Drosophila melanogaster: one gene and its partner. The protein of the gene in region 1 purifies or fractionates together with the protein of each later gene. This does not show direct contact. Each region holds a gene or a part of one and is shown on either strand. Other genes may lie near its edges.

Region 1 (5,083 bases):
AACTGGAATGTGCGCATCAACGCTGAGAAGTGTGCCAATGTGACGTTCGCCAACCGAACAGGTAGCTGTCCGGGTGTCAGTCTGAATGGGAGACTGATCAGACACCATCAGGCTTATAAATACCTTGGTATTACCCTCGATAGGAAGCTCACCTTCAGCAGGCACATCACAAATATTCAGCAAGCGTTCAGGACCAAGGTTGCTCGGATGTCTTGGCTCATTGCACCACGCAACAAACTGTCGCTTGGCTGCAAGGTCAATATTTACAAGTCCATATTGGCCCCCTGCCTGTTCTACGGCCTGCAGGTATACGGCATTGCTGCGAAGAGTCACCTTAATAAGATCCGGATCTTACAGGCGAAGACCTTAAGAAGAATTTCGGGGGCTCCTTGGTATATGAGAACAAGAGACATCGAACGCGACCTCAAGGTGCCCAAATTAGGAGACAAGCTCCAGAACATCGCCCAAAAATATATGGAAAGGCTTAATGTACACCCCAACAGCCTAGCAAGGAAGCTAGGAACTGCAGCTGTGGTCAATGCTGACCCTCGGACTAGAGTCAAAAGAAGACTCAAGCGACACCACCCTCATGACCTCCCTAACCTGGTTTTGACCTAGAAAGTCTTAGTTTTAAAATTCATTAGAATAATCAAATAAATAATAATTACTATGTTATATCAACTATTATAATTCTCCCTATCATTTTTAGGATTAAAAATCTGTTAGTCTTAAGTAACCAAGACACATTGTAAAATAAAATAATTTAAGCAGATCAAATTAAGTTGCCGCATGGGTAACAGTGCGTTGATCAAATAATAAAAACATCATCGAAAAAAAAAAAAAAAAAAAAAAAAAAAAGACAAATGTAATACAGTGCTCAAATATACAAATATTTAAACAAATAGGCTTGTACCAGCTTAACCTAAGCGCTCCTGATCTGAAACTTGGGCTGAGTGGAACTTATTTGCCTTTTGCATCGGCGACTGCTAAAGGCAACTTTCAAAATGCTGACGACGAATTGAAAATGCTCATGTTCTGCAATGCACCCTATATATGTAAATGTATACATATGTATGTATGTATATACAGCAAGGATATTTCTTGCCCATCATCATAATAATAATAAGGTGGCACAGGAAGGCGAGAATTACCACTGTCAAAGTTACACAAAGGTCAAATGGAACATTATGGCTTTATTTTGCGCCTAATAAATCTCATTATGTCATTATATGCTACTCCCCCAACCGCCAGCCCACCAACGAAAAAAAAAAAAACAAGGAGGAAATGGTCTTTGGTCGAGGAGATGGTGGAGGTGGTGGTGAGGTGTGTGCGTGTGCCTGCCAGCGTGCGTGTGGTGAGAAGGTGAAAGACAATAAGAAGGAGCAAACGGAAAGGAAGAACAACTACAACAAAAGGCAACTGACTATAGGCGAACGACATGCCAATCAGTAATCAATCCTCAGGACCCCACCAAAAACAATTTGCAGAGGCATAGCAATAACAAGAGCAACAAACGCAATAACACAAACAACAACAGCGGACAAGTGAGAGACCACACGACGGCACTGTAAACAAATTGGAAAGGGATGAACATACATAACTGCGCAATATGGCGTCGGCAGAGCAAGAGAGCGGGAGAGGGCACTAAGAGCGCACGAGCAAGAGCGAAAAAGCCGCCATTAAAGAAATGCCGCTCAGAGACCGTTTGTGTATGTGCATGGGAATGCCAGTGTGTGCGATGTAAGCAGTGGATGTGTGTGTAGAAAATGCCGCAGGGTTGTCAAGTGGCTGAGAATATTAACAAGTAAATAATCTTTTTATTAGTAAATTGTAACTTTATTGCTTTTAAGAGTTTGAAATCGCGATAACTATATCAGAGAAGCATTCGACTAAAAACAAGAATTCTTTCGGAACCATATAATTACCGAAATGTATTTGTTATTTTTCCCCATATAGCCGACAACCCTGCGCGTTGCTAGCCAACTCTCGCCTCTCAATTTATGCGCTTTTGTACGCGTTGCTCCTTCGGTTCGTTCGGACAGCACGGATAAAACGCTGTCGCCAAACAAAAACATAAAAAACACTGAGCGGATCAGGTTCTATCTTTAATTAAGAAAAACAACATCCCAAAAACAACAAGCAAGAAGGACTAAAATCTGTGGAAAAGAAGTAAGCAAAGCTGTTCCCCAGTGTGATTTCCTCATGTGCATTTAATGTAATTCAACTCGACAACAAAATAATAAGTGTTGTTGGCCTCTCGCTCTCTGGTCGTACCGCGTATCTGTGTGTGCGTGATTTAGTGTTTCGTCGCGTTTCAAGCAATTAACCCAAAGCAACGTAGAAATGCCAAAAACGCATTAAAAATTATTACTCGTAGCTGTCTGTCATTCACAACAGAAAAAAAAAATGAAAAGAGAAGAGTAACAACAGCAACGAGAAGAAGGAGGAGAGCGACAATCATACACAAGTGCTATTTGCCGCTACTCATAAAACAAATTACCCACTTGGGCCTGACTTGTGCGTGCGTTTGTATGTGTATCTCTGTGTGTTAAAAGAGCAGCGTAATCATCATCGCCAAAAAAAAAGGAAAAGAAAACTACTAAAAAGTAGTAGTAAAAAAAGAAAGGAAAAGGAGACGAACCAAAATGAGAGTGTGGCACTGGCAATATGTTGCTGCCAATAACAACAACAGCAACAGAAGCTTCATCAGTTGAATAGTACCGGAATAAAATTACTATACAGCCACTGCATGTGCTTGTGTGTGTGTGTGTGTGTATTGCGCTCTCCCTCTCTGTCTCTTTCTTTCTCGCTCGCACTGCCAGCCGCTGTGTATGTGCAAAGCTTTTTTATGTTTCGCACAAACATTGCGGTAAAAGAACGCCGACAAACGACGAACCCGTCGTCGCTTTGTCGCTCTCGCCAATTTCCGCGCGTGTGCAAGGTGAAGTCGCGTCGCGTCAGTCCGTCGGTCGTATAGTCTCTCTTCGTGTCCACTTCTCCCCTCGCTTGCCGTATCTCTGTCGTGCAACAACTCCCCCGTGTATTTTTTTTCTATGCCCCAAGCTCTGTTCACCGCCTCTCTTGCTATGCATGTACACGTGTATGTGTGCGGTGGAGCAGCTTCTGTTCTGCCAAATACATATGTACAGGCGGAGAGAAGGCAAAGGCAACAGAGCTTGGACACGCGCTCCCTCTCTCGTCGTCTCCCTCCCTCGCCTTACTCAAAGTGCCGTTTTTTCGTGTATTTGTAGAGAAATAAAGAAAAAAACAACAACTAACCTCATAAAAAAGTTCATACATTTGTCGCAAAAAAAAGAAAAATAGAAAAGAGAAGCAAATGCAAAAAGTGTCAAAGAAGTGAAAAACAAGCAGAAAAAAGAAGCAGCAGCAATAGAATCCAGCAGAAGCAGTGAAAAGCAGAAAGAAAAGCCAAGTTTGACTCTCTCTCTCTTTCTCGCTCTTACATAAATGGAAAATAATTCCTGAGATTGCGCTGCTAGGAAAATTTTGCGGATTTGCATTTCACCTTCCGTTAGCTCCGGGAGCTGGGAGTTTGGGAGTTTCTTTTGTGGATTATTACGCCCTCTCGCGTGCTCTCTCACTCTCTCCCCAAACCCCCCTCACGATAGTCGCTCACTGTGGGTGCGAGCAAGCCAGGAAGCAAAGGAATCATCACCTGCCCATCGCCACCCACTGCTCATTGCCACCCGACCCCCGAGCCTTCTCTTCATCTTTTGGATGCTGTCTATAAATCGGGAACGCGCATATTCAGAGCAGAAATTGCGACTATTTTGGATTTATAAAAAGGTAAGTTACAGTAATTATTATCGAATTTAGACTATCTAATTAATTTAATTTACAATTGTAATAGAGTTAATAAACAAAGAGCCAACATTTAGCTGCAATAAAATCTCTATTGTTTAAGTTTACACATCTCTAAGATACTCCACACTTTCTCTCTTGCTCGCACAGCACAGATACCTATTGAGTCAGAAGGAGAGCAAAGAAGAGAGGGAACGAGAGGGCATGAGCCTAAATTGATTTCCAGTTTGATTAATTACCGCACAAGTATTCGTGTACACATTTTTTTTTTTTCATCGAGTTAATGCCAATTAAGGCGTTTCAATCTAAGCCGATTTGTAATTAAATGGAGTTTTTTCTTGTTATTTCGAGCGATTAGAAAATTGACAGGCCGGTTGGTGTGCTTGGTTTTTTTATTATTTATTTTTTTTTTTTGTATTTTGTTTGTTACCTTTTTGAGATTTATTGAAGTGGATTTAATTTGGGTTTTTGTTCGGCACCAATGGAATGGAATTTCGTTTTGCAAGCGTAATGTGGGAAGACAAGCGGAATTCGCGGGTCATCAAGAAGAGCGATGAGAAAGGGTGCAGCGGGGGGCATGGGAATCGTTGTCGAAATGGAAATGCGAATCGGAATCACGCTCACCTAATGAAGCCTGCGGCGACGCGTCAAGCGAACCGAATGGCAAACAGCGCGCAGCCGAACGATGAGCGATAAACAAAACAGTGGAGCGGGGGTGGGGGTGCAGGTGGGGTTGGGGCATTGATTGGGTAAGGAAGGGAGGGGGGCGTCACTGGGCGTGTTTTGCATTTACTCGAATTATGAAAATGAATATCGGGTGTATGGTGCTCTTTTTCCAAATGGAAAAGTTACATTTCACTTATTTCCCTTTCTTAAAAATATGATGTTTCTTAAGTGAAAATATTTAGTTTTATAAAAAATATTACTTAAAACCTACTGGTTATAAACTAATACTATGCTAATCTTTCACTGCCCACCTATCCATTTGGTCATAAATTAAAACCCATACAAAATACATTTCCTTAACGAGCATTTCTACTTGATTATACTGCTTATCTGTGCAAATTTAAATTCGCTTCTAATTCCGGAAGCAAAATCTCCGTTGCCTTATCTTAAGTTTATTTAAATTTAAGTTTATATAGTTGTAGATAGGGTTGTTGTTTGCGTTTCTCGTTTCGTTTTGTTTGCTCATTTCTCGATTTAATTAAGTAAACATTGCAGACGCATTTCGGGTAAACATGCCAAAAGTGTTTATTTAAAC
Region 2 (4,873 bases), on another chromosome or scaffold:
AGCGATCCCCGATCCCCGAAACCCCGTTCCCGGTCCTGCCAGCAATGCGACGATCCAACGCCGCTCGACAAAGTCACAAAAGTGAATTTTTGCTTTTTAACTTTTCGAATTTCGGGGCGGGAGAGAAAGGATATCAAAACTGGGGCGGCCATTGCACTGCGTCCCTCAGGTTCCCAAATTAATGCCGACTTTGGTCTGTTCATGCAGAAAAACTATGCTAATTTTCCACGGTTTCTTCTGCGATCTAATATTTCTTTGTTCCAGTATTTGCATAATTCATTTGTGATTAACTGGGTTGCCCTGTGCGGTTGCTTTGTCGTCTCTAAGGATGCGAAAAGCCTCACGAAATGGCCATAAAAAGAATGATAATTCCGTGTGTAATCTCATGATTCCATGTTTGGCATAACACTTTCAGCTGCTTACAAAAGTTGCGCAAATAACTAGGACCTACTTCTTGTTTAGTTTAGATATATTTTTTCTAAGCATAGCTTTTGAAAACCAAAAGACCTTTCAAATAATGTGAATACTACGTTTTTTCATTTAATTAATGAAATATATTTTTTCAAGTTTAAAACTTCCGATAGTCCAAATCCAAGTTCTGAAACTGTCAGTTCCATTTCTTCCAAAATATTGCATCCACCCAAAAAGACCCATTAATGTTCATTTCGAAAACCTTTAGGTTTATTTTGAATAATTATTTTTCCAAATCCTAAAGCTAATAATATGCGCTTAAAACTAAAGTGTTTAAAACTACGATTGACGTATTTAACAGGCAAAGTTGAAACTTTTGCGAATGCAATTTGAAACACATCTGGATGGTCTGAGAGACTTTAGCTAAGATTACTTCGAGTTCTGTTTAGGTAAGGTATTAAGGTGAGTGTTGTGTACGTATTTTAAGGCTCGACTCCTGGATATGAGAAATCGTTGATTTCACTGATCGAGTATTGTCCAAAGCGCTTCTTCCGAGATTATCACAGTTCCCAGCACTTGGAAGGCACTTCGAGTGCGGCGATTAGTCTAGGCTCTACATACTTTTCAGATCTTGCGCTGACTGTACATGTCGGAGATGAGGCGCACAATGGTGATGTCGCCGATGGTCTTTCGGAAGAACAGCTCCTCGATGGTGAAGCTTGAGACCTTGTGCATCAGCTGCACCACGCCCAAGAGCGTCTGGAATCGCATGGGCTGCGAGGGATGGGTCCTCTGGATGTAGTTGTGCAGCGCACTCCGGGCATCGTTGTGCATGGCCGCCACTTTTCCCGACTCCAGAAGACCCCTGGATTCAGCAGAGGCCGAGGAGTTCGGGCTGCCGCTTCCTGTCAGGATTGAGCTGTTGGCTAAATCCTCGGTAGAACTTGCCGACGGTGGTGACTTACGGAAGAGCGAAATAGCCCTCAGACACTCGTACTCGGTGCTGTCAATGTTCAGATGGCACAGTTGGTTCAGCACCTCCTGGAAGGCGTGCACCTCGCGGGTCACCATGCCCATGATCTCCCGGTTGGCATTCTCGGACTCGTAGACGAACAGCAGCTGGGCGAAATTCATGGGCATTAGGTACTGGGCCATGGCCAGGATGAAGAACTCCTTCCAGGACTCCTCCAGCAGGAGCAGCTGATCCGGCATGGGCAGTTCGGTGAAGGCCCGTACGCTCTTGATCCAGTTGACGTTCTTGAATAGGTGTTCCGCCGCGGTTTCCTTGATGTGCTCAGCTGCCATCAGCGGAGGAGTGGGGGGCAGGGCCCGAGTGGCCAGGGCATTCATGTAGGCGGCGGTGGGCGAGAAGAAACCGTGGTGTCCTTGGTGCACCGGGTGATGGGGCACTCGTGGCACGGATAAGTCCAAGACAGCGGCAGCCGATGGTGGCGGCTGGAAGGCAGCCATGTGAGCAGGATGATGACCAGCCCTCTGGGGCAGGCCAGGCATGGGCATCGGTACTCCAGGAAAGCCGGTCAAGGCAGCCGTGTTCATCAGAATTTCGGCGGGTATTTGTGGCATCTCGCCGGCGCCCATCATGGCATCCTTGTACATGGCCATGTGGCGACGCAGAGTGGAGTTCCGCGGTCCCCGCTCGTGCTGCACTGCATCCTTGTTCATTCCGACCTCAAAGCACTTCCTCAGTCGGCAAGCCCTACATTGGTTCCTGTGCGTCTTGTCCACCACACAGAGTCCCTGCTTCTGCGACTTGCACACATACTGCCGGGATCTCCGAATGCTCCTCTTGAAGAATCCGGCGCAGCCATCACAGGCGTAGATGCCGTAATGCTTGCCGGAGCTGTGATCTCTGCAGACTTTGCAGGGCACATGGTATAGAATGCGACCTGGAAATTCAAGAAGGGGGGAAAGTTGGTATAAGTAAAGGATTGTCTTAATTTTATATATTAGGAAGATTGTTTTCTTCTTTTTTCATTGCTATCTGATTTTTTTTTTTGCTATACTTACTCGATGCCGCTGGCGAAAGACGCACGCTGTTGTATTTCTGATCCATCATGTCTGGTGAACCCTCCGACGACTGCATACCGATGTGGGGCGTAATTTTGGCGATTTTTGTAGAAACGCTTGCACAAATTGAATTTCACTTGGCACTGGTGTATCTTTGAGTCGTTTTGGATTTTTGTTTTAACGGTTTGGGTGGACGGCGGTATTGCGGATTGTGTGATATATTCGATATATCCTTGGTTACTCCGATGTGGACTCGCTGAGATCACGATGGGTTGTGTTGTCTGCTGTGAGGACCGCCGGCGTTTTAATAGTCCTGCAGACCAAATCCATTCATCGAGCAGTCGATCACCCTTAGGTAGACAAACTCCGCGTTCATTGGTCGAAACTCGGGAGAGGGTTGCTTCTAATGCCCTCTCTCGCATATCCTCTCTCACTCTCCCCTGGAGAATCCTTCGATCCTGCGGCAGGCTGCCATTGCGAAAAATTCATTGAGCAAGGAACGCAGCAGCCGTCGCTCATTCTCATTCTCAATTCTTTCGGTTTTTATGGCCCTTTTCCGCAGGATTCACTACCTGCTCTCTCACGCGAACTCCTCGTCCGTCTGCTACCCTCTCTCGCAGCAGAGAATCTCTGCCCGTCCTGCGACAGTTGTTAATGAAGAGATATCCTTCCATATCCATGGCCGAGTATTTTATGGCGCTGCCATTATTGCCGCTTTGTGATTTGTGTGAAGTACCTGTGGGTTCGCTTCTAGTCCTGCGAGGCGAGTCCTTTTCGAGTGGCGATAGTAGCAGCAGGGGTTGAATACCACGCACTATTGATTGTTTTCCATTCAGTAATTAGGTTTTTATGATGCAACCATATAAATGTTTAGGGAAATGATAAATCTAAAGACTTTGATAGATATCAGATTGTACAGATTTCTTGAGCTTATCAATTTTACACAAATCTGAGTATGAATTTTGTATCGTAATTTTTAAAAAATGTACTCAACATTTTTTAATTAAGAAAGTGCATTATAATGTTGAGCATCTAAACAAATTCTTCGATTCCCCCATAAAATTAAATTTTGGAATAACTTCTGCTAACCAAATACAACGTATTTCCTATATAAAATATATGCACTGATTAAAATAAAAAACAAATATTTGCATTTCTTAGCCAGCTTTGGCAACTTTTTAGGTTCAATCTAAAAATACTTTATGAAAATTATTGCGGAGCTCAGATTGCGTTTTTAATAATAATTTTTATAAATGCTTAATAAATAAAATTATTTTAAAGTAAACCCAAAACGGAGTTGTTAAAATCAAAGGTTCATGTTACTAAAATGGGAGCTAGCCATTTGAGATAGTAGCTCCCGCGGCTGAGCCAGATTAGGCGTTGCCTTTTGAGAGCCTTTAGGATTCAAGTGGACAGTGCCTCTAATCTCGCTTGGTCCTGCCAAGTCCCGAAGGACCCACCGATTCCTCGACTTAAGCTCGCCGCTTAAGCAGATTACGGATTTTAGATCGCGGGAGTGGTACTGCCTGGAAAAGGCACGCTGGTCGGGAGGCTGCTAGATCAAGCTTTTCTGTCTTCGGGATCAGCGAATTCAAAAGAAAGACATTGTGCGAGGTCCCAGCATCGGGCGAGTACTTAATAATGTTAAGCAAGATCCTGTAAGTCTGGTGCGATTACGCACCAACGCCTAAGGCCATGTGATCCTGATCCAGGACCTCGAACGTGGGAACAGCTCTCTGCTCGAACGGACTCGAATGCAGAAGGGCGGAGATGCAAATGCAATTCATTTGATATACGATAGACACTTGAAAAGAGCAATTATATTTCGATTCGTATTACGGATGCGTAACTTGATCAATAAAATGCTTGACATGATATCAACAACAGTCGCCAGGGGTTGCAATGTCCAGGGGTTCTAATTGGACTAGTCAACCCCTGGATGATGCTGAATCGGAGGGGGTGGTTAATTGGAACTCAGGTGTGCTGCATGGGAATTCGCTTGCGTGTGTTGCTATTCCGATCATTAGCTGGACTTCCATGGGGGGAGGATGCTCTACTAAACCAGATGACGATGACATATCAATTTTTGACATTCCCTTGACCGTTCATTGAGTTTGAAGTAATTATAATTGTGGGAACTCGTGAATATGCAGATGAGGAGGCTGCATCTGTTCGATCTTCCCACGTTGTATGAGTATGTTCACAACTAAGCGAAAATTTAGTCATTGCTTTTAACATAACAACTAATATGTGGTAATAGTCAATTCGCATAGTTCTTTAAACAGTTTCCAAGGGCCAATACATTTAAAATTACTATTTAATTAATTTGGAATTTTAGAGATAACATTTCTTGATTGTGGCAATAAAGCAATTTGTCATTCATCAAGTTGTAGTTACGGAATATATGACTTTAGGAAGTTTGAGTTTGGTAGTG

What was found.
Region 2: the proteins of sbb (region 1) and tll purify together in Drosophila melanogaster (affinity purification with western blotting; one study listed by BioGRID). This does not show direct contact.

The regions. Positions count from the first base shown.
Region 1 is NT_033778.4:18,354,224-18,359,306, reverse strand, and holds the start of sbb (scribbler), read left to right. Parts: upstream 1-2,010; 5' UTR 2,011-2,169; exon of another isoform or gene 2,170-3,251; 5' UTR 3,252-3,807; intron 3,808-5,083.
Region 2 is NT_033777.3:30,850,189-30,855,061, reverse strand, and holds tll (tailless), read right to left. Parts: upstream 2,748-4,873; 5' UTR 2,516-2,747; coding exon 2,440-2,515; intron 2,319-2,439; coding exon 1,036-2,318; 3' UTR 662-1,035; downstream 1-661.